4 linked regions of the Tamandua tetradactyla genome follow. The protein of the gene in region 3 purifies or fractionates together with the protein of the main gene of each other region. This does not show direct contact. Links are inferred from orthologs where the notes say so. Each region holds a gene or a part of one and is shown on either strand. Other genes may lie near its edges. The genes, in order: CDC25C, KLC2, YWHAE and MARK2.

The links.
Region 1: the proteins of YWHAE (region 3) and CDC25C purify together in Homo sapiens (affinity purification with western blotting; 9 studies listed by BioGRID and IntAct, with this or other methods). This does not show direct contact. The link is inferred for Tamandua tetradactyla from reciprocal best matches to the Homo sapiens genes YWHAE and CDC25C.
Region 2: the proteins of YWHAE (region 3) and KLC2 purify together in Homo sapiens (affinity purification with mass spectrometry; 3 studies listed by BioGRID and IntAct, with this or other methods). This does not show direct contact. The link is inferred for Tamandua tetradactyla from reciprocal best matches to the Homo sapiens genes YWHAE and KLC2.
Region 4: the proteins of YWHAE (region 3) and MARK2 purify together in Homo sapiens (affinity purification with mass spectrometry; 8 studies listed by BioGRID and IntAct, with this or other methods). This does not show direct contact. The link is inferred for Tamandua tetradactyla from reciprocal best matches to the Homo sapiens genes YWHAE and MARK2.

Annotation. Positions count from the first base shown.
Region 1 is NC_135346.1:17,999,270-18,007,225, forward strand, and holds the start of CDC25C (M-phase inducer phosphatase 3), read right to left. Parts: upstream 3,006-7,956; 5' UTR 2,972-3,005; coding exon 2,778-2,971; intron 2,046-2,777; coding exon 1,936-2,045; intron 1,260-1,935; coding exon 1,214-1,259; intron 1-1,213. Other genes in the region: oocyte-specific histone RNA stem-loop-binding protein 2-like, read left to right, coding at 4,112-4,155, 4,953-5,048, 5,145-5,249, 6,320-6,472, 6,615-6,705. UniProt on the Homo sapiens protein: Functions as a dosage-dependent inducer in mitotic control. Tyrosine protein phosphatase required for progression of the cell cycle. When phosphorylated, highly effective in activating G2 cells into prophase.
Region 2 is NC_135335.1:8,173,721-8,181,618, forward strand, and holds the start of KLC2 (kinesin light chain 2), read right to left. Parts: upstream 3,004-7,898; 5' UTR 2,913-3,003; intron 2,890-2,912; exon of another isoform or gene 2,729-2,889; intron 2,052-2,728; 5' UTR 2,005-2,051; coding exon 1,777-2,004; intron 1-1,776. UniProt on the Homo sapiens protein: Kinesin is a microtubule-associated force-producing protein that plays a role in organelle transport. The light chain functions in coupling of cargo to the heavy chain or in the modulation of its ATPase activity.
Region 3 is NC_135332.1:55,181,739-55,188,722, forward strand, and holds the start of YWHAE (14-3-3 protein epsilon), read right to left. Parts: upstream 3,004-6,984; 5' UTR 2,881-3,003; coding exon 2,817-2,880; intron 1-2,816. UniProt on the Homo sapiens protein: Adapter protein implicated in the regulation of a large spectrum of both general and specialized signaling pathways. Binds to a large number of partners, usually by recognition of a phosphoserine or phosphothreonine motif.
Region 4 is NC_135335.1:10,713,325-10,720,531, reverse strand, and holds the start of MARK2 (serine/threonine-protein kinase MARK2), read left to right. Parts: upstream 1-4,191; 5' UTR 4,192-5,787; coding exon 5,788-5,844; intron 5,845-5,863; exon of another isoform or gene 5,864-7,207. UniProt on the Homo sapiens protein: Serine/threonine-protein kinase. Involved in cell polarity and microtubule dynamics regulation. Phosphorylates CRTC2/TORC2, DCX, HDAC7, KIF13B, MAP2, MAP4 and RAB11FIP2. Phosphorylates the microtubule-associated protein MAPT/TAU.

The sequences.
Region 1 (7,956 bases), on a different chromosome or scaffold from region 3:
CCTTTCTTCCGTTCCAGGGGCCCTGCATCTGGTTGATGTGTATCTTACCATAATAATATATAGGATATTCTCAGAGCTAAATATCAAGATGGCAAGTGACATCCCCTCACTTCACTTGCATTATCCTATTTATGGATATGTAACAAAGATGAATGTGGTTTTTTTCTCATCTCATGTAGACATAATCATTTTTAGTTACTAATTTTTCAGTGTTGACTGTTGGTGTAAATATGTATTTCTAACACTAAGGTAGAGTTGGAGAATGGAGAGATAATGTTTAATTGAATGAGATTAAATTCTGTTTGGGGTGATGGAAAAGTTTTGGTAACAGATGGTAGTACAACATTGTGAATGTAATTAACATCACTGAACACTTTGAAAGTGGTTAAAATGGGAAATTTTATATTGTGTTAAGTGTTACCACAATTTAAAAAAATCTTAGAAAAAACTATACAACTGAAAGAGTGAACCCTAAGATAAACTATGGACTGTAATTAATAATTTAATAATATCAGTTCATCAGTTGTAACATATGTACTACACTAATGTAAAATGTTAATAATAGGGCAAACTGTGTGTTCAGGGCCATATAGGGAATACTGTACTTTCTGAAGGATTTTTCGGTAAACCTAAAGCTGTTCTAAGAGATAAAGAAAAATAATTATGAATTTCCATCCTCTCTCTCAGGATTTCATCATGGGTTAGGACATTTTAAGCAATTCAAAGAAAATGCAAGCTATACAAAGTGAAATTTTCACACATATTGATAAAAACAGTCATCTTTCACCTAAACACTGAAAGATAAAGCTCCAAAAGGATTAAAACAGCCAAGTGCAAAACTTTTTATAAGTTTAAGAAGAGCTGAATCAAAATTTGTTGCATTTGTTGAGTATTCCTTGTCTGAAAATTTTAAGATTGTTAAGAATCTATAACAGTAATAATAAACATTATGCCTACATGCAAGTACAGTATGTCATTTTCCTTCATTTTTGAAGATAACACTGATTGAATTCATTTTAACTATCAGGCACATTTTCACAACACTATTCAGATCCGGGAAACTTAGCCTTTCGAGGGAATGACTTGGATCTCAAAGCCCACTTATCTCCAAAGTGAAATATTCTGTACTTTGCAGAGTCTACACAGGATAAAATCCCCATGATCAGTGCTAAAAATGTTGTAGCGTGCGGTTCATTTAGAAAGAAAAACTTACACCACAGCTAACTGTATTTCCTGAGGTCCTGAAGAATACAAGTGTCCTGAAATCAGACATGAAGAATCAGTTATCCTTGTTCATGCACCCTGTCTTTCCTTCTGATTTTCATCATCAGTAAGCCATAGTATTTCCAAAAACTGAGTCTCCTGACAAACAGAAATTCAAGAAATACAAGAATTTACATGCATCACCTAAAGAAAAAATTCTGGTTCTGGGAACCAGAACTATACTATATTACACTAACTATACTATACTATATTAACCCATGGAGATTTTTTCATGAGCCAAAAAGAAAGCTTATCACTCAGGAAATCTGAAATTAGAACAAGTACTAGACTTTTGTCTTATGAAACACATCCATTTCAGACTTAGACCCTATAAAAAAACAGTCTTAGTTGACAAAGTATTTCCTTATGTTGGTTTCTTTGCCTCTGCTGAAATTAGACTAAGGCACAAAACTTCTCATATTTTATTACACTTTGATTCCTACCATCAATCAGCTAACAAAATATTCCTTCCTATCTAACTTTCTCAAATGCAAAGTGACTCCTTTTAATGCTAACTTTTTCTTCCCATTGGCTTAATCATTCTCCTCAAAAATCCTCTACTTACATACAAAATTCAAACTTCAAGCCTCTCTTACTTATTCTCACCACCTTCCCTCTCTGCCCTACAACTCTGTCCTATCCCTAAGTTATTTTTCCCATTGATGGCTATACCTCTCTCCTCCCTACCAGTTTCATCAAGGTCTGCAGAAGTGGTAAGTTGAGTGCCAGACATCTCCCCACTGCTAAGATTCGAAAGATCAAGACAACATTTTGGAGTTCCTCTGTTGAGACATAATAGAACATCAAGATTCCCATTAGGTCATGAAACCTTAAAGACAAAGATCATGTTGCTTTCTTCATTTGAAACACCCTTTGATGACAATCTCAAAATCTGACTGATGTCCAAATAAATCTAAATATTTTTGGAAGTATTCCAGGCTGATAATAGAACAACTAGGCTGAGAAAAAATCTCACTTTCTTTCTACTCCAATAACTTATATCTTATTTTCTCCTCACCAGGATAATTTTTTTTTTAACTGAGGACTAAAATTTATTGAACTATAGGTTTTAACCCCACATCCACTGCCCCGTGCGCCGTAAGCACACAGATTGGATTTCTCATTGGAGTTTCTAGTACATCTCATTTCTATAACTCTCCAACTTTGTTTGCTAGCTGAGACAACAGGACATGCATGTTCATGATTTAAAGTAAAAGAACAATACCATTACTACTAGTAGTAAAAATTAACCAAGTCACAACGCTATAGAATTTGCGAAGACTTTCCTTAAACATCATGTTATATGATCTTCACATGATCCTAGTAAAACAGGATGAGGGGAGAGATTATTACTTCCGTATCACAGAAAATCATCCTGAGACTCAAAAGAGTCTCACAATTAGTTAAGGGCAGAGTTGAGTTTTAAATTCAGGTCTTTGAGCTAGGACAATTTTTTTTTTAAAGCTGTTTAGAAAGGTAAAGGCGATAGAGTGCGATGATAAAAGTGCATTTACCCAGACAAAATGCTTAGGTTTGCAGAATCACAAAGGATTTTATCCACTGGAGTTCTACGGAGATCTGGGCAGATCGTAAAGGAAGTGTCTCTCTCCAGGAGCGAGTTTAACCTCTTCCTCTGACTGCACCTAAATGTGGGCCTTGAGCCTGGGCTTCCCTCTTCTCTTGTGGATGAGGAAAGATCTGCAGACATGGTGTCCGAATTCTCACCAAAGGAAAAATAAAGCCTGGGTGGAAAGAGAACACCATCTTAGGTCATCCAGCCTTCAAGGTTACCTCCCCCACCCTTTCCAGCATGATAAAACATTTCAGGATCGGAGCGGCATCCCCAAACAGTGAATCGCATCCTATTATGAAGGTTAAATCTGACTTGCCCAAAGAGGCTTGGCCTTTTCGGTGGAACCTGAAGTAGCCGAGAGGCAATCTCAGGACTTCAAAGTTGGAATGAAGAGAGGGTTTTTATTTGTTCGGGGCAAACAGCTCACGAGTCCTGACCGGAAATCGGGACTCTTAACTCACGACAATGCCCATTCGGTCCTCTGGACTTCCGTTTGCGGGACCCGGCCTGACCACTGAGGAGAAAATGCGATCTCCGTCATTCCGTGACAGACACTCAGAACTCCAGGCTTACCTCAAATTTGGGGTCTCCTTGCCTTCAGGAGAAAGGGAAGCTGGGAAAGATCGGACACGAGCGAAGACGAGCAGAATTAAAGGAAGAACCAATCCTGGAAACGGTGACAATTAACCAGGGTACACTTCTGCTTGTCGACTGAATAGGCCAGAGTTTGGTTTCGCGGGTTGTCTCCTCAGAGGGTCGAAATTACGCGGTTTGGGTAGAAGAATACCAAAAGCAACGGGCCTTGACCATTCAAATCTTCCGCCGTCCCAATAACCTATCACCGCTCGCCTCTACCTGCGTCAGCCAATCCCTGCGCACCCGCCTAGTTCCCTTCAGCCAATCATTTGGCCAGTACAGGGGGTACGAGGTTGCCTTGCCAGGAGCAAGATTTGCCCCGCCCGGGAGTCAGAGCAGGATAGCGATTGGCCCACCAGCCTCTGGTAAGCTCCGCCCCCCCAGGAAGCCTAATGCACCATTGGCTCTTCCTCTGACCAATCGCCACACCCTTCCTGTGCTCTCCCTTACTACATCCCCACCAACCCGGGAGATTTAAATTGTTCCCCACAGGCGGCCACCACTCGCTAAGATATTATTTGGAGAGTTTAATTTAGATGAGAGTGTTGGAAACGGTTATTTTTTCCTTGCTCCTTTTTTCGTACCGTTATGTGGACCTTTCTCTTCTAACTTCCTGGTTTTGCTAGCCGATCTCTGGAGATGGAGCATTTATTGCCAGCGTGGCAGGTGTTGGGGCGAGACAGGTGTGTGTGTTTAGGCAACGCGGCACTGACCCCTTCCAAGCGCTTTCCTTGTTCGGTGTCCCTTTTTAGTGCGCGGCATCTCTGAGATGCTAGGTTGTGGTAAAAGGAAATTCCTTTTCACGGAAAATAGAGGAGTTGGATCATTTCTTGGCATAATCCTTATCAATCGAAAGGATCTCCAACTTTAGTTGTTTATGGATATTTAACACTGACTAGGTGATATTAAGAAATTATTCTTAATGTTGGAGATTTTATTTTAAATAATCGGGGGCGGGAGCAGCGGTGGATGTAAATGAAACAAGACTGGCTTTGAGTGTTGGATAATAGAAGCATGGGGGTGTGTGATGTCAGTGCTTCTCAAAGTTTAATGCGGTTACTACCCACCTGGGGATACTGTTAAAATGCAGACTCTGATTCAGTAAGTCTGGGTGAGGGCACAAGATTCTACACTTCTTGTAAACCTCCAGGTGATGCCGCAGTGGCTGGCCCTGGAACCACACTTTATGTACCAAGGCATTATGTTATTTTACTTCGGTACGTATTTGAAATTTTCCGTAATAATAAAAAAATGTTTAAAATGCAGGCCCCCAATTGTTGATTCAATAGGTTTAGAGAGGGTTCAGGAACTATTAAGGTCCCTAGGTGGTGCCAATGTAGGTGGTTTGCCAACCCACACTTCTGAAACCCGTCAAAAATACAACCTTTATCTGGTGTCTGAATCTTGTGGTTGTGATGGTGGTGGTTGAGAGGTGCATTGTAGCAGCTGGCTTTTATCCTAATACTCACTTCATCTGTAGAATCTGCTCCCCCAGAAAGGAAGTTTGTGAGGAGTCTCTATCCTCTAGGCTAGAGATGGTGAGCGTGGGAGTCAGTACAGAGCTCTGTCATACCAGGTGAGTTTGAGACTCAGGCTGGGATTTAAGGGAGTGTGGGATGAGTTAGTTTCAACTTTGATGCCTCTAATCACAATTCACATGGACTTCCTGCAGGTGGCAAGTAGAGACTGATGAAGTTGTCCTGCAGCGGCGGCAAAAACAAATAGATTATGGCAAGTGCACACCTGGCTATCAGTGCTTTCTGCAAAAGGTCCCCAAGTGAGTGCACCTGTGGGATGGTGACAACAATGGTGTCAACCAAGTTGTTGTATTTCAATGTCAGGTGATGGAAAGATACTAAAATCTGAGTGCTCTCACAAAGTTACAGCATTGTTAAAACCAAGTCTCCTGCAATCTAGCCCTAAAGATAAGTTTCTAAGATTTTTTTTTTTAATGGAACAAGTAATACTTGGCCCATAAGACTTTAAAGCTTTACCTGTGTTTCCTAATGAGGTAGTTTTCCTTCCAACCACTTTTACTATCCCCTCATGCTTCCAGCTGAGTTGGATAATTGCAACATACTTGCTTAATTACATGCAAATTTACATGTATATATACAAACTAAATGTATGAAAAGGTAGAATTCATTTTAAAGGGAAGATAAACACTGTCTTTTATGTCTATTTTGGCTTCCAAGGAAGCTGGGACTATCTAACTTACCCTTTCCCGAAGGTCAGAAGTTTGGTGTTTAATGTGATTGGAAGATTTACTTTTCTTGTTGGATTGAGGACCCTCTTAGTTTGCCATGCTGCTATAACAAATACCACACAATGGGATGGCTTAAACAATAGAAATTTATTGGTTTACAGTTTTGAGGCTAGAAGAAGTCTAAAATCATGATGTTAGCAAGGCTTGCTTTCTCCTGAGGGTCTGTAGCATCTTGTGCTGCCTGTCAGCAATCCTTGGATTTCCTTGGCTTGTCTATCTGCCTCTAGTCACATTACAAAAGCTTCTCCTTTCTGGCTTCTCTGACCTCCAAGTCCTCTTTATAAGGCCTCTAGTAATCCAGATTAAGATCTACCTTCATTCAGTTGCACCCAACCTTAACTAACATCTTCAAGAAGTCTTATTTATAATGGGCTCACACCCACAGGAGTGCTGATGATTAAGAACATGTTTTTTTCTGGGGCACATAACTCAGCCTTCCACAAGAACATGGATCTTACACCATTCTCAGGAATCACTAACAAATTTCCTCATTCACTATGATAAGCAGTGAGTTGTGCCCCCTATTATATGGGGCTCCCTTTCACCTTGACCTCAGTCTGACCCACATTTCTCATTACTAGGGCACAGCGACAGCCAGGGATTCACCCTCAAACTCCAAACAAGAACAAGAAGTACAGCCGTCGCTCCTGGGATGCCCAGATCAGACAGTGGAGAAAAGCCCTGCATTCCTGGGACCCCCCCAGCCAGACTCTGCAGGGCAGTGGGGATGAGGGGTGTGTTTGCTATTTCTGGTTCCTTCTGTGAGTGGTGGGCTGAGTCCTACGTCTCCCCACCCAACAGAGGTTTAGCTTTCACTGGCTGAAAAGGGAATGACTGTATGAGATGCATATTCCTCTGACTGTGCTGCCTTCCTAGGCAGGGAATGGAGAAACTCTTACAGCCAGTGGATTCTACCCCTTTGGATGACCTACTGGATGACAAGCTCCAGGCCCTGGAACCCTCATAGGATCTGGATGGAGACCAGAAGGTAGTATCTTCTGCTGAAATCCACTGGAGCACAGTCAAAGATAGGGACTGGCCCATGAAGTCACAATTAAGATGGGGTTCAAGGTAGTAGCACAAGAACAAAAGAAAGAAAAGGAGGCAACAGAAAAAATAGCAGAACATGAGTAAAACACTTGAGAACTAGGAATGGTATAAGGAGATTTAATTATAGTTAGGGTGGGGGTGGGCCTTTGGGTGGCACTGGGGAAGGGCAGGTATTGTTTTCACTTGATGAAAGCTGATGTAAGTTTTCTTTGTATGAAACTTGACTTTTTTTTTTTAAGTTTGTCAATTCTTTTTTAAGTGTTTTTCAAGTGAGCCAATGCTAACTTAACTTCTTTTACTCAATCATTTAACATTTTGAAGGATGGATGACAATAAAAAGGAGGATAGCCTAGTGGTGAAGAGCAAGGGCTTTAAGGTTTCAGGGTTTTTAGTTTTGTTTTATGGCTTAATGTACCTTGAAGCTCAGATTCGTGTCACATCTACAGGGTCATCCTCTGGATGTACTGGGGGCAGAATTAATTTTTTTTTTTAACTACAAATTTTATTGAGATAAATTCACACACCATATAATCCATTCAAAGTATAAAATGTCTCACAGTATCATCACCTAGTTGGGCAATTATCATCACAATCAATTTTAGAACATTTTCATTTCTCCAAAAAGAAAAAGAGTAGACAATAAAAAGAAAACCCAGAATACCCCATGCCCCTTATCACCCCTTATTGTTGTCCCCTGGTTTTGGTGTAGTATGTTAGTTACTGCTAATGAAAGAATATTAAGATATTACTGTTAACTACAGTCCATGGTTTGTAACAGGTACTTTTCCCCCCATATACCACTCTATTATTAGTTCTTTGTACAAGTTTAATACATTTACAGAATTGATTTTTTAAACTTTTTTTATTGTAAAGTATAACATATATACAAAGCAAAGAAATAAAAAAGCAACAGTTTTCAAGGCACTCTTCAACAAGTGGTTACTGGACAGATCCCAGAGTTTGTCATGGGCTACCATACGATCCTCTCATATTTTTCCTTCTAGCTGCTCCAGAATATAGGAGGCTAGAGGACTTAAATACTTTTTTATTACCACAGTTGACTTTTCTTCTTTTTTTGTGAATAATAACACATATACAAAAAAGCTATAACTTTCAAAGCACAGCACCACAGTTAGTTGTAGAACCTATTTCAGACTTTGACATGGGT
Region 2 (7,898 bases), on a different chromosome or scaffold from region 3:
AAGGGAAGTGTGTGTCCTGAATCTTCAGAAGGTCTAGGGAGCCACAGGGGCAGATAAGGCGATCCAGAGCCCTCAGCCTCAGGCTACATCCCTTTTCCCAACTTCTCTCATGTCTTCTCTGAGCTTCCAGGCTCTTGCCTTGGGGCCTTGGCCTGGGTTATGCCCTTTGCCTAAAATACCTTCCCTTCTTTCTCCATCTGCTGAAACCCCTCTCAGCCTTCAGGGCCCAGCATCATTACTGCAGTGACTTCTCGTCCCACTTGCACCCTTGGCTCTAGGAGAGCAGGGCTAACCTCCCCGCAGCTCCAACTCCCAGAGCCCTCAAAGCCATCCTGCTCCCATCTGTGCCAGTGCCTGTGCACTTCTAGGGCCAAGGTCCATGTGTGCTCTTCTCTGCACACAAGAGCTAATTGACCAACATGTTGCCCTCCCTGAGGGCCAGGCAGGCTGGGACTCTGCAGTTTCTAGTTGGGTAGCAAATGCCTAAGTGACAGGTGTTTTCACAACCACTAGCTTTCAAAAAAAAAAAAAAAATCCCTAAATAGTCTGTAAATATATATAGCAGACAAGGAAACCACAATGATACGGCCTGCCCAGGAGTCACAGAGCCAGGCAGTGGCTTAGCCAAGATCTAGGGGTGGGGAAGCCCAGACTCCTTCCCTGAGAACCAACTAAGGGAACACACCTTGGTGGTCCTGGACATCTCCATCTGCATCTCGTGGCAGCCCACCTTAAGTAGGCCAAAATAGAATCCTGGCCCTTCCTCCTCCAGGCTCTCTCATAGCCTTAACCTGCCCAAGCTTAACAAGCTTGGGAATTACCCTCCCCGTCTCTCTCCCCTTTAGTCCCTCCCAGGTCCTGCTGGAACTGCCTTCAAAACATCCAGAACTTGTCCCCTTATCTTCACCCCCCTGGTTACCCTTTTAGTCCAAGTTGCCATCCCTCATTTGAATTTCAGCAGTGGATCCAGGCCACCTGCTACCTGCTTCTGCCCTTGACCCACTATGGTTCATTTTCCACACCTCAGCCAGACCGGGTCTTCTGTTTGCTTGAAACCCTCCAGAGGCTTCCCAATTTCCTGAGAATAAAACCCAAACTAACAAGGTGCAGCATGCTCTGGCTCTTGCCTCCCTCTCTTCTGTCCCCATCCCTTCCTCCTCTGAGCCCCAGGCACAAAAGTCTTCCTTTAAGTCCTCAACCACAAGATCTTTCCTGCCTCAGGACCTTTGCACATGCAGCTTCTCCCTCCTCCCTTTCTTGGAGGATGTTTCATTCCCACCTTGCCTAACCAATAAGGAAGACCTCCTGCTATATGCTAACACAAGGTCTTGTTCTTTTCTTCCAAGAAATTATCACAATCTGTAACAATTTTCTGTATACAAGTGTTTCTGTCTCTTCCTACTAAACTAGGGCAGGGCTCTTGTCTGTCTTGTTGGACCCTGTATCCCTGGATAACTTATCTGTTAATGAACAAACAAAAGAATGAAAATTTTTCTGTTGGGGGTGAGAGGGTGTTGGTTTTCTTAAGGATTTCCTTCTACTAGCCAGTTTCTGCTGGGAAGAGGGGAGTCAGAGCTAGAGAGTAACCAGGATGTCTGGGGCAGGGCAGGGCAGGGCAGGGCTGGGGTCACCAAAGAACATTCATGCACTGAGATCCTACCAGGGGGCTCCAGGAAACAGATGTCCCCTGCTAGATTCTGCTCCTACTTTGCCAGGATTTCCCTGGAAGATCCGATACCTTTCCTGCCCACCCACCTCAGCACCCAGACCCCCTACCTGGGCCTCCCCCAGTCCCAACTCGATGGCCTCCAGGGAGCGGCGCAGAAGGACACAGCGCTCCTGCGAGCCGGGCTCGGCATCGGCAGCCTCATGCGCCACCAGGGGGGCGAGCAGGGCGCGGTGCTCCCCGCGCAGGGTCTCCAGTCCCTGGATGACGGCCTTGGTGCCCAGTACGATCTCATCTTGGCTCAGCTTCTCCTCCCGCGGAAGCACCATCGTGGCCATGGCCGCGTCGCCTGTGAGAGTGAGGGGCCGGCTGGCGGGCGCCAGGCCTGGGGCCACGCCGCAGTCCGCCCCGGATTCGGTAAACACCGGCGGTCCCCCGACGCCTGGGTCCCCAGGGTGCCCAGGCCCCCCGGCCGGCAGCCCGTACGGTGCTCGCGCTAGGCCTACAGGGGGCGCGCCCGGCCCGTGTCGGCCGGGGAGACGCAATGCGGTGCCGCCGGTGAGGCCGGACAGGGATTCTGCCCCTGACCACCCACCCACTCGGGGCTGGTTTCGGCCCTTGTCTCGGGGCATCCCAGAGGACTTCCTCAGGGCAGGGCGCGCCGGGGGACAGTCCTATGGGGATCGTGGGGGCTCGACCGGGCAGGAGACCCCAGCCCCTCCGGGAGACCCGGTCCGCCCTCGTCCCCTTCCCAAAAGGCAAGCAGAGGCATTGGGCCCCTCTCCTAAGGCAGGCCGACCCTGCGGAGACCCCTCCCTTAGAGGGGCTGAGACACGGGTCCCTCGACCCTCCAGGCCGCGCTCACGACGACCTCCTCCCCAAAGAGCGGCGCGACGCCCTGCGGACCCCTCCCCTGCAAAGGCCGAGCTCCAGCCCGCGGCCACCGAGGACCGCGCCGCCCGCCCGCTGGCCTGGTCCTCCCACAGGCCGCGCCCATGACGACCCCTCCCCTGGGCCGACCCGGAGCCCCCTGCCCCCCTGGGACCTGACCCCTCTCCCTGCCTGATCGGCCGCGCGGATCTATGGGTCCCGCTCTAGCCCAGCTCCCGCTCCGGCTCCGGCTACGGCTCCGGCTCCGGCTCTCGGACCGCTTCACCGGGACTCGCAGCCGTGAGCGGGTCCCGCCGCCTCCATCCCGCCGGCCTTCCCAGCAATCCCCGCGCCGCCTTAAAGGTGAAGCCTCTACCTCCACGGCGTCGGAGGGGGCGAGACGCGCTCTCCCCGGAGGGCTCTCTGCCTTAAAGGAGCAGGACCCGCAGGACACGCTCCGGGTGGGGGTGTGGCCACCGGCCGGAGGGGGCGGGGCGTGGGCTGGTCAGAGGCGCAGGTTGCAAGCCCGCGTTTCCCACACTCCTCCAGCCTCGGGTTCCCCGTCGAGTCAATGCCCGGAGGCCTCTTGCCGAGGCTCGGGAGACCGTGCACCCCAACGCAGCCAAAGCCGAGAGCAGAGAGGACGGCGAGAGAAACTGAGTCCACCTCCGAGTCCAGAGCCTGGCTGGCTGGGACCAAAAATGACCATAGCGGTTGACATTTATTGAGCACTTTCTGTGTGTCGGGCGCTTTGGGTGCCTGAAATACCTTGTCACCTAAGCTCACAAAGAGTAGGTTAGGAGGGTACTTCTGTTATCCCCACCTTCAGCTCTGAACCCAGATCTCCAGACTCCCAGGCTACTTCTGCTCCGGCGCCCTTCAGAGCTGTCCATGTCCCTTGAGGGGATTCACTGGCTTCTTACGGCTACTTCTTGCCGGATGCGAACGGAGACCAAGACTCAGGCCTCTGTGCTGAGGAGCATCTTTGGTCCGTGAAGGTGTCATTCAGAGCTCGGATTGTGTCACCTTTGCAGAGAGGCTTCCCTTGACTTTCCTCCCCCTCCGGCGCCCATTTAGTGCTCTCTAGAGCACTTATCCCTTCTGACACTTTTCTTGTGGTTTGCTGTCTCCTAGAATGCAGGTCGGGACCTGTCTGTCATGTTTAATCTTAGAGCAGCTCCTGCAGGGCACATAGTAAATGTGGTTTAACAAGAGGCAGAAGGATGCATCTGATGGCCTTGGCAGGATCTTCCCAGGCCTGGGGGTCTGGTCTGGCACCCCACAGCCCAGGGTGGGTGGCCACACTGGCCCTGACCCCACTGCTTCTATGTTGGCACAGCAGGATGAACACTCCGAGGGACAAAACCTGCACAGCAAGCCCTGGCACTGGTAGAGACATCTCAACTGAGGCAGAGCGGGTTCAGAGTCAGAATTCACTGAGTTGCGCATCTTGGTGGGTGTGGGAATCTCATCCAGCACTTTCAGTTAGCTGGAGTGTGCGCTGTGACACTCTGCTGTAGGACAGCTCTAAGTGTGACACGTCTTCCTTAGACTGAAAAGTGCTTTCCTGCAGTGCTCACCCCACTGTAGCTCGGTCCTCAGGCTTCCTTTTGCCAGAGAGGATATTTGGAGTACCAATGGTGCTCCACCCCCTCTGCTGCCTGAGCTGACAACCCTGGTCCCTTTTCCGGTGCCTGCTGGTCTCCAGACACCTCTTTCAGCGTCCAGTGACCCAGGCAAGGTGTGAACTGCACAGATCACAGAGGGTGGCCCTCCCTGACCACATGCCATCTATCCACCTGTGAAGCGGCAAGTGATGTCGTTAATGTTGACAGCCTAGCAATGCGCCTGCTCAAGCTACAACTCTAGGTCCTTATGTCCCAGGTACTTCTCCCCAAACCTGGGCTTCCACCACTGATTTCTTCTCAGTGATTTTTTTTTAGGAACACTAATGCATTCATATGAAACAAAATCCATAAGGCACACAAAAGGTGCAGTGAAATGTACTTCCCTCTCTCATGTCCTCAGCCATCCGGCTCTCCTCCTCGAAAGCAACTGCTGTTTCCAGTGGCTTGTGGCCGTTGATGATTTTGGTTAACATCGGTGCAGATCTTGAGTTTATCCCTGTTGATCTGATGTGACTGGTTTTCTGCCAGAGCCCCTGAAGGTTGGGGGTCGCCTGCGTTTGAGGTCTGCCATCCTTCGCTGTTCCGTTGGCCCTGTCTCCCAGAGGCACCCAGACTGCAATTTGACCAGCCTGCCCTCTGTGCCTGAGAACCCCCAGACCAGGACTGATCTCTCACCTTGCCATCCCGATCATAGAGAGGAAACAGAACGTGGGGTATCTTTGTCCCTCTGAAAGAGGTTTTGGAATCTTTTGGGAAGAGATTTTGTTAAAATGGGTCCTTTTGGAGGTTTGGATTCGACAGTGCCAGGGTGGGTCCTGGGCATCTCTTGGTATTTTAGAACTTCAGAGGTGCCTGTGATGTACGCCCTAGGTTGAGAGCCGCTGCTTAAAAGTCCTTGTTTTGCAGGTGAGGAAACTGAGGCCCAGAGAGGGGAAAGTAGGAGAGCAGGAGCAGGCTTTTGATCCTGTTTTCCCCAGGAGCTAAGGTCCCTGGTGACTGCCACATCCTTTTCTATCCAAGAGTTCACGCCGTTTGGTGCCAGTGGGCGAGGGAGGCTGACCACATGCAGTAGAAGTCAAGAGAACTGACACACTCACACAAAAGTAGTCACACACACCCTTGCACACAACCTCCAGCGGGCTCACTCAAAGGCCCAGAACGCTTATGGGCTCATGTGCACACCTCCGCGTGTGTGAGTTTACAGACCCACGTAGGTGCCCACACCACACAGCCAAGTGCAAACGCACCCCCCAAAGCCCTGCTTTGTTCATGCCTTCTCTCTGTCTAATCAAGGAGCACATTTCTTTTATCATCTTTTCCCAGGTAAACGTAAAGAACATTTTTCAGTCCCCTTTATGATTCTTACTGCTTTTTTGTTTAGTTTTGTTTTTGCCCCATCTTCTCTGCTAAATCTCTGTAGGCTTTTGTGGTTTCTTTGTGATTCCCTTTATGGCATCTGGCCTGCTCCTCCCCTGTGATCCCGTGGAGGGAAGCTGGCGTTCTCATGCTCTTATCTTGCTTTCCATGCTTAACCTTGCATGTGTTCAACCTTTTCAGCCACTTGACTTTTTTTTTTTTGCATGTTCATCATTTCTTAGTACATTTGCATCGATTTAGAAAAAGAAATAAAAGACAACAGAAAAAGAAATAAAATGATAATAGAGAAAAAAAAGACTATACATACCATACCCCTTACCCCTCGCTTTCATTTACCACTATTTCAAACTGAATTTATTTTAACATTTGTTCCCCCTATTATTTATTTTTATTCCATATGTTCTACTCTTCTGAACATATAGTAGCTAAAGGGAGCATCAGACATAAGGTTTTCACATTCACAGAGTCTCATTGTGAAAGCTATATCATTGTTCAATCATCCTCAAGAAACATGGCTACTGGAACACAGCTCTACATTTTCAGGCAGTTCCCTCCAGCCTCTCCACTGCATCTTGAACAACAAGGTGATATCTACTTAATGCATAAGAATAACCTCCAGGATAACCTCTCAACTCTGTTTGGAATCTCTCAGCCATTGACATTTTGTCTCATTTTACTCGTCCCCCTTTTGGTCGAGAAGTTTCTCTCAATCCCTTGATGTTAATTCTCAGCTCATTCTAGGGTTTTTCTCAGTCCCTTGATGCTGAGTCTCAGCTCATTCTAGGATCTCTGTCCCACGTTGCCAGGAAGGTCCACACCCCTGGGAGTCATGTCCCACGCAGAGAGGGGGAGGGTGGTGAGACTGCTCATCGTGTTTCAGCCACTTGACTTTTTATCTTGTCTCCAAAGATCAGACTGTGCCTCTCCCAAGAGAAGGAAGAGGCTGTAACTTCATCCTGCCATGTTCTGTGCCTACCCACCCCCACCAGTAGCTGTTGGTTCCATGCCAGGCTGCTGAAGGGGGCTCAATAAATGGAGAATAGAAGAATGAATCCATGCCCAATGGTGATTCAGCTCCTTATGCCATTTTCTGCTGTGCTCATTGGCTTACACCGTTCACCCACCCCCATCCCATGCCTGGGGAAGTTTTTCTTTTTTTGCTACTTTTAATATGGTTTTCTCCCTGAAAATCACTCCTACTGCTCCTATCCCTTCCCCTTGGACCTGCTGAAGCATTCATCCCACTCAAATATGCTTTCTTAAATTATGTTTTTTTTTTTTCCTTTGGCTAGCTTCCCTCCTTTTCTTTGCAATGGTTGGGGGGCACTTTCACCAAGGATATCATTCAACTTGATGTCAGCAGCTTTACTCAGAAGCAGTTGATAGTGGAGGGCTCCCCGACAAGGGTTCAGTTTGCCATTTCCTAAGAAGTCTGTTCTGCGTGCGACCACTCTGGCTGTCAGTGCTTTTGTTCACTGAGCCCCAAAGCAAATCTGCTTGGCGCTTCCCCAAAAGGCTTCTGGCTCCTTCTTTGGCAGGCACATGGTGATTCTGTATCTTCTCTTTCTTGGGACCTCCTGGTCCAGGGACTAGAAAGGTGCTTGCTCCAAGCAGTAGAAAAGCGCACAGGCTTTGGGATCAGACACAGCTAAATTCAAAGAGTGTTTCTCCACTCTCCAGCTGTGCGACATCAGGCATGCTCTGTAACTGCCTCTGTGTCCACATCTGTAAAATGGGGTAGCTACCACCTTCCTTGCTGGGTCCTTGAGACGACTGAATAAAATAGCATCGTTAAAAATCTTGACATTATGCTTTGCACAAAACCGTTGCTGTTTCTTGCAGCTCCTTATTGTTATTATCACCACCAAGCTTACTATTTGCCAGACGCTGTCCTAGTGAGCTGAGGGTGGAGAGAAAAATTATGAAATACAGGGCAGTCTCTGTTTAGAGTGTTGCTGGGAAGAAAATGCACTCAGAATGAAATCAGGCAACAGACAAGGCAGGAAATAGAAAGGTGTCTGAATATAACTGCGTTAGTCAGGGTTCTCTAAGGAAATAGAACCAACGGGAGGTATGTATATATGCAAATACATGTATATGTATATATGCACATTTAATATAAATATTATGAGATCTTTTTTTAGGCGTTGGCTCATGCAACTCTGCGGATGGGCAAGTCCTAATTCCATGGGGCAGGCTGCAAGCTGGGTACTCCAATGAAGGTTTGTGATGAATCCCCCAGGAGAAGCTGGCTGGCTAAAGTAAAGATGGAAATTTTCCCTCCTTCTGCTGAGATCATCACTTCTCCTTTTAACGCTTTCAGCTGGTGGGATGAGCGATCTTTCATTGTGGAAGGC
Region 3 (6,984 bases):
CACCACTCTAACTAGAGTAAGATAGAGGTGGGGCTCTGGTGTTTTACAAGGACAGTTCTCAAGTAAAAGATTCAGGACAGAGATATTCCTGGTGTTGATGCATTCATCACACAGAAAGTGAATAAAAAGTGATCATCAAAAACTCTGCAACCAATCTTCACAGGAGTAAACTGAGGTAAGAACAAAAGAACTACCCCACAAGCCCAAATGTAGTTTATGCCTACTCCTCTACTCCTCCAAAATGGGAAAAGGAGCCTTTGTTTTCCTCTGTATTCCCCAATTTTCTAAAAGTACTAGTAAGACTTGGTTCAGGATTGCTAAGAGATGAAGGGACTTGCCTAATATGGCTACCAATACACAATCTGACTTGCTCAAGTGACAAGATGTCAAATTTAATCTTCAAAGTGAACGGTCTTAACAGCAAACTTCAATATTTCATATATATATCCCCAAATTATTATTTTCCTGAAAACAGCTTGTCTCTTCGTCTAATACCATTAAAAAATCTATAAATTGATTGCAATTCCCTAGGACAGAATTAAATAGGAAACGAATCTACAAAGAAGTTTAGACATTAGGTTCAACACAGCACACAAAAGACAAGGATACTGCAAGGACAGAGAAAAAAAAGCGATTAGTGCAGTTGGAAAGCCAATATTTACCCCTAAGTACCCCAAATCCAAACCACTCAAATGAATTTTTCATCTTCTTCCACTCACTACACCTGATAAATTTTTTTTGGTGTAGAGAACTATGGATCATTTCTTCGGCAACAAAAAATTGAATTCATTGATTGTGCTCAATAAGAAACCTATGCATCTGTGGACACAGGTAAAGACTGATCCCCAGTGAGTATTCTTCCTTTCCACTGAAACTCATCACAAATAGTCACAGGAGTTTCCCCCACCTTTGTAGATCCTATTTTCCTCTCCCTTTAGCCCTTGAAATGAAAACGTAACATTTAAACAATGTAAAAATCTGGCTCCAGCAAAAAAAAGTCCTATATTGAAAATCAATAAAGACTTGGGTCAAAATTCCTCAGCACTCAATCCCAAAACATGATTATCACTAAATTATCCTTTATTTGGGAGATACAATCATGAGCTCCCAGATCAGCTTTTAAAACGAGTTTTGTTTTTTGGTGTTTTTTTTTTTAATAAGAAAGCATTCCTCAAGATCCTTTTTGGTTATCACAGCACGTTTACTCAGAGTCTAAATCCCTACAGAACAGAAAGCATTCAAATATAATTTAAAGTTTCCTCCCCCAACGGCAACAGCAGATTAAAAGGGGAACCTATTTGGGACACCAAGTGGGAAAAAAAAACTCCCACTGCAAGCATACCTACAATTGTTTGAATTTTAAACACCGAAATAAAGACAAATCTGACCTTGAGCTGTACTTCCCATCTTATTCCCTCATACAAATAGCAATGTAAGGACTTAGACGATGAAATTTAGTGCAGTATCCTTCTCTAAATTTGAGTTCTAGCCACCTACCAAAATTTCAAATTCCCGAATCCTAATTTCTGGTGAAACACTAGAGCTAGCCCTGAGGCTATTCGCATGACCAAAGTGGTATTCAAGGAAAGCAAGAGCTCTACGACATTTTGAAAAATAAGTAGTTTAAAAAAGTAAGAGAATTCTAAGGATCGCACTTAATGACGACCATGCCAGACCCCCCCCCCCAAAAGCATAAAAACATCTATCTGCATAGGGACCATATAAGATTTTTTTTCTCATATGATGCATCAGTTAAGTACCTGGAATAGCTTAAGAACCACTCCGATCCTGGGGAGTTAACCAAAATGCAGCTACTCTACCTTATTTGAAATAATTTTATTCTTCTACAGAAGGTCGTTACGTTTTTCATAAAGGTGCATGTGAAAAGAAAAGTCATTATTTTTACAACCAGTAAACTGAGACACGGGAAAGATTAGAACACGATCTCCTTGTCTCCTCTTTAAGGTTCTATCCACGAGAACCCACTGCTCCTGGAACCAAAGATTACAAGAACTTCAAGCTTCTCTGAATAAGTCCGAAGAAAAGGAGAATGGATGAGGTTTTCTGGACCTCCCCAGAAGAACAAGTAGGCGAGGCTGAACGTAAAGCCCAAAAAACCATCACTACAAGGTGTGCCACCCTACGGGAAGGGAATTCGATCGCAGCATCTCAGCTTGCCTCCGCCCAAAGATGAACTGCAGTGATTCCCACTCTCCCACCAACACCAAGAATGTCCCCCACCCCAAGTCCAAAGAAACCCTCTGCTCGCAACGGTCCTCCTTTGTGAGTCTCCACAGCCGCCGCCCCACACTGGGCCTCCGGGGAAAAGCCACCGCCCCCACCCGCCATGTTTCCCTGAAAGACACCAGCGCTACAGCTCCCAGTCTCCACCGTCCCCTATGTGGCGGGTGCCTCTTCCCCATCACCCCACCCAACTGTTCTCCATATCACAAGACAGTCCCAGAAGCTTCCACGGAATTGCTCGCCTGGAGACAGCACGGGGCCATCTCCTCCCCCCTCCCCCGCCCCAGGACTCGCCCTCCCCCAGCCGCCATTTTACAACCAACTCCTCCACCCTATCGCCTTAGTCTCCTAGCCCGCGAATGGCTGCAACTGAAGACACCGAAGGGGTCTAATTCCTGGGCCTGGAGCCTCCCACAGCTCCGGCAACCCAGAGGCCATTTCCTCCTTCCCGAATCCACATCCCCAGGTCAGGGCCGGAGACGATGCCGCCATTTTGTCTCCTGCTCCTGGCCTCTGTGGGCGGCGGCAGAGGGTCCGAGAATCCCAGCCCCCAACTGCACCCCCCAACTCACCGTCGTATCGCTCGGCCTGCTCGGCCAGCTTCGCCTGGTACACCAGATCTTCCCGATCATCCATAGCGGCGGCGGCTTCGGCAGGGTGTGCACGACGGATGGAAGCGGATAGCGTCTCGACTCTCTCAGCCTCTTGCTCCGCGTCCGGGCAGCAAAAATGGCGGCGCCTCAATCCGGGACTTCCGCCTGCGCACGCGGACAACTGCTCAGCTCTATGGCAACCGCTCCCTGGCAACTGGCGCGGGGGGCGGGCCCTCGAGCTCGGCTCTCGAAGAGGCTGAAACCCGCGAGACGCCCCGCCTCCGTTGGCTCCGCTGGAGCTGGAGTGTAGAGACTGCAACCGCAGCTGAGGGGCAGCGCTAACGGCGAAGAGGGAGAGAGGACAGCCGGAGGCGCAGCCCGTGTGAACCGCGCCTGAAAAGACTGAGCGAGCGATCTTGGGCTACTACTGTGGGCCCATGCCTAGGACTGAAGGGCAGGGAAAGGGACAGGCTGTTTTTGTCATGGCAGGCCTCCCTATCGAAATCAACTGGCTTCCTTTACCGTGCCCAGGTTCTCACGACTAAACCCAGTCCTGGGTCTTTTCAGACTTTTTAAACCCGGAGTAAAGTGTTGGGCTCTTGCTAAGGGGGGATTCCAGTTTTTACATCTCGTCTTCTTCCTTGCACTTTCTATTTTTTCTTCTCCCCTTTAGCCTTCTTTTAATGCTTAGGTCCACGTGGATAGGAGCAGGAAAGTTGTTCGGGGAGCCTGCTTTGGGTTACAAGGTGCCGAAAAGTTGAACCAAGGGAAAACTTGATTTTGAGGAAGTAGGAAGATCTGTCAATGGAAATTGCTTGGTGTTAGCAACGATCTGGACCGTTTTACTTCTTTCACCTACCTTTGAAACACAGGTGTTCTCCGAGGTTTGCTTGGCGTGCTGCTTCACCTCCAAACACTCTCTAGCTGCTTCCATGGCAGCCTACCTTCTATTTCTAACTCCAGTCTCCCTTTCCAAGTTCATGCAGGGTATTTCTACTTGGATGATCTTTGGGGACATCCCCTCAGAATCAACATGTGTTAAATGGAACTCATCTTTTTCTGCAGTACACCAGTAATTTATTGAGGAAATGGATTTCCCAGTTCCTCAATAAATGGCTGTGCAAAGAATAAAACAGGTAAATAAAACCTAAGTTATGTGGTGGGCTCTGCAGTCGATGTGGAATGAAAAGTAGGTTGTAGCCAAATTACCAAGAGTCTTATATGGCAAGCTAAGATGTTTGTATCTTATTCTGTGGACACAAGGGAGCTATTGATGATTTTGCATGGAAAGATAGTACTGGCAAAGATAGTACTGGCATAGAGATTAGTAGGTGTTGAATAACAATGGTTACAAGGTATGTTAAATGATCAGAATATTACAATAGTCCAGTCAAAAGGTAATGGATAGTGGCAGTGAGAATAGGAAGGAAAGGATAAATAGGAACGGCACTAGAGAGGTAGAAGCCCCAAGAGTTTGTAGATGACAGGATTTAGAAATATTCTGAGAGGGTGAAAATCAATACTAACTTTCCATCTTCCCACCCTGAGTCACTGGGATAGTGAGTGGCAGTACCATAAACAACGAAAAATGGAATGACAGGAAGACTTACTGGTGTACTGCAGAAAAAGGAGATGAGTTTCATTTAACACATGTTGATTCTGAGGGGATGTCCCCAAAGATCATCCAAGTAGAAATACCCTGCATGAACTTGGAAAGGGAGACTGGAGTTAGAAATAGAAGGTAGGCTGCCATGGAAGCAGCTAGAGAGTGTTTGGAAGTGCAGCAGCACGCCAAGCATAAAACCTCAGAGAACACCTGTGTTTCAAAGGTAGGTGAAAGAAGAGCCAGCAAAGGAGACTGCAAGGCTTCCTATTGCATTCCAAATTAAGCTTCTTCACACTTATTATCACTTAACAGATTTCAGTGGTAAAAGACTAAGAGTCAAAAGATCTAGGTTCTAGCTCTAATTCTACGACTAAATAAATGTATGACCTTCAGCAGGACACTTCAACCCTCTGAGCTTTGAGTTCATCTGTACAGTAAAGGAACTGGATTTTCTGGACTCGAGATCCCTTCCAGCTCTGTACGATACATCACAGCAGTTAAAGCCATGGGCTCTGGACATCTTGGATTCAAAAGCTACTTATTGCCTCTGTTATGGGGGCAAATCATTCATCTTCTTTAAATCTCAGTTTTCTCACCTATAAGATGAGAAAGATATTTTCCTCATACAAATGAGAATTAAGTGGGAGATTGCATGAAAAGTGCCTGAGACTCCATAAGTGTTTGGCAATTCTTATCAATGGTTCTATGATTCAAGCTTGAGTAAGAAACATAAGTTAATATAAGTGAGAAGAAAAAAAAAAGGGGGTGGTAAGTAGTGTGAAATGATGGAGAGATATCCAATAAGATAAGCACTGAGGAAAAGCCACTGGGTATAGAGTTAGGTCTTTAGTGTCCCTCATGAGCAACTTGGAAAAGGTATTGGAAGCCAGGCTGCATTTGGCAGAAGCTCAAAGAAGGAGAGGGGGTGGAAGGGTTGAGTATAGGGCTCTCTCAAGAAACAGCAGTGAAGAGATGGAGGGTGAGAGAATAGTAATCTGAGAGAAAGGAAAGAAAATGGAATTGTGAGTGGCCAAAAGGGGTGGTCACATATTGTTGAGCCACAGGTTTGTTCCACATGTTCACGTATCCCACCCACCTTAGAAAGCTGGCTCTGCTGCCAGGTCAAATACAGAGCTGTCACGGACATGCAGAGATTAGGGGTGGGTACGCTTCTTCCCAACTGCGTCTTCTTTCCTTGCTAGGAGCTTCTCAACACTGCTTCCAAAGACTAGCAGAGTCTATCCGAAGGTGCCCCTTCCTAAGAAACTGCTGAGAAGGCAGAAATCTTAAACTTAGATTGATTCTCAGATTGTACTGCCTATTCTCTAAGTAAACAAGGTTTACAGAAATTGTTTACAGGGCACCAAAAATTGTGAACAGACTTTGAAATGGCATCTGGAATTATAAACACATAAAAAAAAAACATGGCTGTTTAGCATATAATACTGCCCTTTTTACCACTGTTGTGTTAATAGATACTTTACACTCCATTGAAAATCCTCTAAAACAACAGGTCATTAAGGTCACACCCTTAAGTAGAAGTCTCCAAACTTTACAGAATTTGCTTTAATAGAAATAAGAGCTCTTTTGACCTGTCTGGATGAGAGTATCCACAGATACATGTCAGCGTACTAAAAACACTCACAGAAGGAAATACGTTATTAAAAAAATGTGATTAGTCATTGCCCCCAGGAGCTTGCAGTTTTATTGCTTTTCTAACATTTACCACTATTGTGTTCCTAAAGCATTATTTTATTAAAATATTATTATAAATATAGGCTCATTTAAAAATCTTAGACCTTTCTGAGTTTAATTTTTTCCCCTATATATCTTTATCATCAAAATGCATTTTTGAAGTTATGCAGTCACATGAAAAATTCTCACAATGTATGTAGAAGCCAAGATATAAAATTACATATTCAGTATTGTGTTGTTAAAATACAATTATACCTATTTAAAAAGATCAGAAAAATAAAACAATATTAAATAAGTTTTGTTTCAGTAATGGGACTACAAGTGATTCATTTTCAAATTTATACTTTTTTGTATTTTCATAAATGTCTTTATTATCATGCATTAATTTATGGAATCAAAGGGTGGAAATTTTTAAATGACTATACTACATTATTGTTCTGCAGATTGCTTTTTTCATGAATAGTACCTATAAAACTACTTTATTCTTTTTAATTACCTTATGGTATTCCCTTGTATGGATGTTTAAGAAAGAAATCTTCTACTGATGAACATTTAAGCTCTCTGCAGTTTTGCTATTACTATAACCGGTGCCCGCTGGCAGTGGTGCCAGCTGAGCCCCAATCCAGGTTCGATCCAGGTTCATTATTAGTCTCCACACTAAAAGAATTTAGAGGTGAGAGGGCCAGTAGGAATCAGTAGTAAAATTTGTTAAAGGAGAGAGTACACGTTAAAGAGGTTAATGAGGATGCTCCCAAGGGAGGGACATGGGCTGAGTGTAGTGTGTAAGCTTATTTTATAGGAAAGGTTTACTGGTGGCAGGTTTCCATAGTAACTTTTGAAACTAGG
Region 4 (7,207 bases), on a different chromosome or scaffold from region 3:
ATTTGCTCAGGTATTAAAAAACCCAAACATTAACCTTCCATACAGAGAACACTGGAGAAATTGAGCAGTGCCCCAAGGTCACTTGATCCTAAGTGGTATTTGGCACAGTTTGCTGGTTTGGCGTTTGCTGAGAGATTTCTACTTTATATTTGAGCAAAAAACTTCTTGGCGGGGGACCTCTATGCTGTGTTCCCAGTGCTTGCCCTGTGCACAAGATTTGCCTCCGTCCCTCCCCTGACAAGTTGTCTTAATCCTCTCACCTATAAACAAGTGCAGCAGAACATGCTGGTCCACTCCCATGACCTTGGCTGTCTGGTCATGGGATGGCAGGCATCAATGGTAGATACCGCAGTCACTTGACATGGTAGAGCTGTCAGGACAAAGAGGTGCAGATACCAGGAGGAAGCCGGGGCCTGCCCGTGAGGGTAGACGGGAGTGTGTCTGGTTCCTTTGCGAGGACCATCTAGGGGAGGTCAGCCTCTCCTGGGGAGTGTGGGGCAGAGTTAGGACTTTCAGCTCTGAGAAGAAGATGGATAATCACTTTTCATTCTTTCTTGCACTGCCTTTATTACCGTGAATTCCTAATTTTTGTATCTCATTTATCTTTCTCTTATATCTGAAATCCTGTCTGCAGGACATGCAGCTGTTACAGGAAACTGCCCTGAGACAGACACTAGTTCATGGGATACTAAACCCAGTACCAAAAATCCCATCTTCTCAAATAGTGAGCCTGTTATATTGTGTGAAGGACAGCTGGTGATGGGAGCCTGGCTCCACACAAGGCTGCCAAGTCTCCAAGCCAGAGAGACTCAGGAGCGTGAACTACAGCTAAATTTTCACCCCCACTGCCCCACTCCTCCCACCACACACACAGGTTTTCCTCATCATAGCAGAAGAGGCAGAGCTTAGCTTTAGAGAGTACATAACATAAGAATTAGGGTCTCCCACCAGACTGTGTGTGTGTGTTTCTTAATCACTAGTCACATTTCCCATCGTGACTATTGGTTTGCAAAGACTCCATGGTCCTATATCTAGAAGGTCTTGGCAAAATTGCTGACATTTGGATCTCAAGAGCTGTGGTATATCCTCTGGATTTTCCTACGTTGGGATGTAGATGTTTAAAGTGCTTTTTATCAGGGGAGACTATAGTGGCAGGGGCGTTTTATGGAAAAGAGAGAACGATTGAGCTGGCTCTACCCAAGTTCAAGTCTGAGCCTTGAGAGTAGACGACCAGAACTTGGCTTTCAACTGCAGAGCTTTCCTAGATCAGTTTGAAAAGTTCCGTCTCATCTGGAGATGCAGAGCATTTATGGTGAGCACAAGTTCCACCACAAGTTGTTATATGGAATTATAACAATAGTGAGTTCCATTTGCATTTAGAATATACCAGGCACTATTCTATGTGTTTGGATGGTGTTGGATATTTGGCATGTCTGATCTTACACCTTTTGTTTCAAGGCTTGGTAGAGACCACTTCGTGCCTGGAAAGTTCTTTGTCCTTGGTAGTCAACATAGACAGGATAGGATGGATATCAGTGACCTTGTACAGCCCAGCTAAATTCTTTCACTAGAGGTGTCCTAGGTGGGTTTCTTCTCAGTCTTCAGGACTTTATTTAAGCTTCTATGCCTGTTGGTAGTTACAGCTGCCCTTTAGAATTTGTTGGAGGGAGGGAGGGTCCTGTATTCCTTTTGTATTCTGCCCTTTCTGTGCATTTGGAGCTGGAGAGCTATGGATTTGGTTGCTTGCCTCCTTCAAAATAACGATTATTCTCTTGTCTGCAGTCTTTGTAATAGTACATCCAACAGTGCTCAACCCCGCCCCCCTTTCTCCCCAATACCACCTGTTAACTGGTGGTTCTAGTTCCTCAGGGCTTCCACCAGCACATGAGCTAATCTGTATCAAAGAGCCCACCCCCAGACCCCTGTCACAGTGGTTAGAAAGCACAGAGCCTCCAACACTCAGCTGTGAAACGTGAACCCAGGTCTTTGCTGCCTTAGCCATAGCTAAGCTGGCTGTTCTCTGGGCCTTTTCATTCTCTTAGAAATCGTGCAAACAGGCTCTCTTCTAGGACTCTGAAAAGATGAATTAATTATGAAATATACTTTTTAAGAAGGTACTTGTAATGGTAAATGGCTATCATCTGGTTTACTGTACTCTGCTCCTAGGCCAAATACACAAGTAGCTAGGGCACCCTGGAGTGGAACTGTCATTGCTGCCAGCAAGTGAACCACGGTGTTTGGCTTTGGGAGCACCCTAGGCCTAAAGTCACAAGCTGACATATATTTGGTCTCGCTGAGAGGCTTGCACTCTTTAGTATTTTCCGCCACTTTTGACAGAAGAAACCTTTTCCATTTATCTGGCAAGCTAGTCAGGGCACCTGCCCAGGTCATGGCCACTTAGAATCCAGCAGTCTCTGCCCTCAGCCCAGGGTTGCAGCAGCAGGGGTGGCAAGCCCAGCGAGGTAGAATGAGGCCCATTCCTTGCTTTAGTTGCCTCATAGCCTTGTAGGAGAGACAGAGTGTTTGACCTGATGTGCCAGTGTACTGTCTTAGGATCCCGTTTCTCTTCTCTAGCTGCAAGCTTTCCTACCTGGTCTTCTTAACCCATCCATCCCTTCTCCTGTAAGGCAGTACCTTTCAGCATTCCTTTCCTCCAGCCTTATTCCTGGTCTCTGTCTGGGTCAGTATCTCCTTATCCAACCTTATGCTCCAATCACCTCCAAATGCCCGATTCTTTACCACCGTGGTTTTTAAGTCCCTATCATCTCCACCACCACCACCCCCAGCTCTTGTTTCAAGCCCAGTTTCTGCTGCCCATGATGTATAGAGAGCAAAGATAGTTCCTGGATCCCACGTTGGAACTCTGAAGTCCTTTTCCTGTTCTGAACTATGCTTTAGAGCTGAAGTACAGTTAATATTTTACTTTTGATCCAATGGTGGGCCCTCATGGGCTGGTTTTGAGAACACAACCACCGTTTGTGGCATGTCTTTATGGAAAAATAGTTCCTACTTAACACAGGAAGGAACTGTTGGTAAGTTGGGGATTTCTTGACTAATATGCTGCAGCAGATTTGCTTGTGCCCTTGTGGAAGTGTTCTCATTACTTTGCAGACATAGCACCATCTATCACAGAAATAAGTTGTCCTTTTGGATGCTGAATGAGCATTAAATAAAATAAAATAAAATAAAAAAAACACTTCCCTGACACCCCACCCCACTCCCCACACCCCCAGCTGAAGTTTGCCACAAAGCTATGCTGATTCTCTCTGATTGCTCTGCGGGGCAGTTGTGTGATTCTCAATATCAGCTCACTGACCCGTACTTAGGTAGCACCAGAAATGGGGCACTCCACCCCCACCCCCAGCCCACCCCTACGGCTCAGATGTCTGTTCACCTGCTTGGGTTCTTAATGATCTGCTGTATGAGAAAGATAACATCTCAGCCTATGAACAGGAACGGCCCAGCAGGGGGTTTTGCTTTTAGAAACAGCAGCCAGTTGGATTTTTAATGGTCACTTAACTGGAGCAGCTGCATCACAGCATGGCCCTGTGGGGAATAGTTCTGAGGCCAGGGTGGCAGTGACAGCCTTAGGTGATTTTTGTTACTTCTTCTGCTTGAGCTTTGACCTCTAGCCATGGTTACTTCTAAGGCAAGCAGACTTTGCCCCAGTGTTTTTTTCTGACATTTCCTCTTCCTTCAACTCCCCTTTTGAAACTGGAGGAGTAAGAAAGCAGTATGTTTTCCATTTCCAGATAAAGATGAAATGGAAAGAGAAGCAGTGTCTTGTTCAGCACCTTCCAGTGGTAGGGCTGGAACCAGATGGGACCCAGAAGGCCTGTTTCCCGCCCAGCACTGGATCTATTCTGCAGCATAAAGACATTTTAAAGAAATCACATTGCAAAAGGGCAGAGACAAAGAAATAAATCTACATCCAGGTAGAAAGGCTGTTGCATAAATAGCAAGGTAGTTTTTTGTTTGTTTGTTTTATTTGTTTAAAAAAAAAATGATCTCATGCTTCTTTTTTACTTTGTGTTGGCAAAAAACCCAGGAGAAGATGGGAGATTCTGGGAGGAGATGATTATGCTGGGTGAGTCAACTGAGCTCCCCAGCTGCCGTTTTTAGTTCCTTTGCTTTTCTGTAACAGGAGGCTGTTTGGGGAGTGGTGGGGGGTAGGGTGGGGAATGCTGGTTTATGCATCAAGACAGGAGGCAGGTGTGTATGTGTATGGGTGATTTTCTTTTGGTAGGTGGCACCCTGGGGTTGACAGGGCCTTATGATCAGTGTATTGGTTCAAACAGAAGATACCAAAACAGAGCCTATAGTTAGGCTCTGCTGCAAGTCACTGTCACTTCCCCAAATCAATAGTGTTAAAGTTGCATTGCATTGTTGTAGTAAGATACAATGTTTTTTTAGCATATCAGTGGAAAAATTGAACGTAAAGAGGCAGAGAGAAGAATTGTCTTAAGTGGGAGTGGCTGGTAGTTGTCACAGGCAACAGGAAGTTCAGAGGAGAGGTTTCCCCCTCTGAGATGAAAGGAGGGCTTGGGCTTAATGGAGGGTGGCCAGGGAGTCTGCCCTGCTGGTCCTTGGCTAAGCTTTGTGTTCTGAGTTCCTCTGCACTTCACCTTGGTGACCCCTTTACCTGATGCTTTGTGTCAGGAGAGAGCACCTGAGCCTTTTCCCACCTGAGAAAGCTCGCTAGTGGAATTAGATTTCCATCGGTGTCATCCAGGGAATCTTGTGGCCTACTGCTCTGCTGGTTGTCTGCAGAGTGCTATGATTTGGGGGATCACAGAGATTTTCATGAAGATGCCCCACCACATTTTCCTATTTATTCACTCTTACATATATGTTCTCTCAGTACATTTTGAATACGTCTGCTGTGCTAGACATTGTTCTGGGCCATGAATAAGATGGGCCTGTGTCCCTCTTTTGCAGTGTAGGCTGGTGGGAAGGAGAGATGGTATCCAACCAATTTCAAGGGTGATGAATGTCTGGAAAGGGGAAGCAGGTCTCATGGCAAGAGGTTTTGGTCTTGCTTCCTCAGACCTTCTTCTCCTTAGAAAATGAAGGCCACTCTGTCCTGGGGGGCTTTAGGGTTCACAGAGTTGTACCTCTTTTATTCCATATGTAAGTAACATGTGCACTGGTAGGCATTGGGGGCACACAAAGCAAGCAGGCTACCATCTCTGGCCTCTCAGGGCTTGAGAGAGGAAAGACATGGAGACACAGAGTAAAAAAGATAAGCCAGTGTAGATAAAGTGCTTTGAGAGTCCAGAAAAGGGAGCAGTTACTCCCAGTTAAGAAGTGTCTAGATAGTTCTTTGAACACAAGGATTTAGGTAAAACAAGGGATAGAAGATTTACTTACCTGAATTACTTAAAGAAAGCATGTGGTTGATGGAACTCTTCATCCACAATTCCATTCCATTCCCTCCAAGGCAGCCAGAGAGGTAGAGCTGGGACTTGACCCCAGGATGACACCCTTCACTACCATACCATATGCAGCTTCCCGGAAGTGTGCTGGAGGGAGCCAGCAGTGTAAGCTGGGTGTAGAAGCCCAGAGTCCTGAGAATGTGCTAAAACATAAGCTGTTAGGCAAAAAAAAAAAAGGGGGTTAGAGGGAAGCCCAGGCACCTCAACTCCACTTCCCACAATCTTCTGTAAAGGGAGCCAAACCTTTGTGCTGCAGGCTGACTTCTCCCTACCCCCTCCACCCCCATTCCCCAGGGCCTTGGGCTGCTGGCAGGCTGGCTCTCCTGTGATATGGAGGAACTTGCTGGTCTCCATGGTTACAGTAACCCACTGGTACAAGAGGAGCCGAATGGAGTGCAACGCTAGCAGTGTGAGCTTCCCCCAGTCCTTGGCACCACGTGGTACTGGTATATCGGCTGTTTCTTTGACCTTTCCTGGGAGGAAAGAGTTAAGGAGCTGGTCAGAAAGGGAAGGGTCCAGTCAGGGCCTGGAAGGACCACCTTCATCCTCCTCTGGGTAGCTGCAGAAGACAGAGGCATGGCTCCCTTTCCATTCACCCACTCTTCCCAGCAAGAATGCTTTTATGTTAGGAAAGAGGGTCATCTTTGCCTGACAGCCCAGCCAGAGCATAAGGGTGCCTTTCCCTTATTTTAGAAGGCGTATCAGGATGGCAAGAACCTAGGTACTTGTAGTCAAATGCTTAGAGGTTATAGCTCTTTCAGGGCCCAGAGAACCCCTTGAGATGGGAAACATTAACAAGTCCTTGCTGTGTATGCCAAGCACTGACATAGATTCTCTCATTTAGTCCTCACATAAATCCTGTGAAATGGGTACAGTTACTAGCTTTTAATGTCCTTGTGTTCCAAAAAGGAAACAGACTAGAGAAGTAATCTTGCTTGTGAAATAGCTAGCAAAGATGGGGCTTAAAGCCAGGTCCACCTGACTCCAGAGCTCTGCTCTCTAGTCTCCCTTAACAAAGTGAGCTAGAGCTGCTATAATAAGTCTCTCTATACAGCTTCCCTCTAAGTTTCTAGAATGCAGAAATCAGTCTCACTGAACTTTACATCTGGCCCTGGCTCCAGAAATAGGTGCTCAAAAAAGGTTTGATGAAATGGCGGCAGTAGTTGGGATTTGAGACAGAGCTCAGAGCCCAGTGAGCAGATCCTCAGAGATGAAGTGGTGGTGGAGGCTGCTGGAGCCATGGTTGCCCTGGTCACAGAGGAGCCAGGCATTTCAAGTGGCTCTAAAAAGGAAGGTTTTTGTGTGGTACGCATTGCTCTGTGGCTTCCATGCTTGAAGAGGAGTGAGCTGGAGTAGGCGGTTTGTTCTGATCTCACTCCAGGTCAGTTCTTGCCTACTCATCTTCCCCCAGGGAGATTCTGGCTTCTGCTGCGGTTGCTTTGAGGCTTGCAGGCTCCCCTCATGACCTGGGCTTCAGGGCTGGACTCCCTGCTTTGGGATGAGGGTTGCAGCTCAGAGAACATGCCAGTGGGGGCCAGTTGACAGCAGAAGGGAAGCCAAGCACCTTACTTTTGACTCTGTGGTTAAGTAGCAGGCTCTACTGGTCTCCTTTATCAAGGATCCACCTTCTCTGGCTGGAAAAGGGAGCATCCCTTTGGCGGCTTTGTACAGCCCCAGCCTTCCCTGCAACAAGAGCATAAAGGAATGTGAACATCCCCAGGAGGGGCCATTACAGTTCATTTTTGGGGTGGGGGTACATCTGGCCTCTGCCA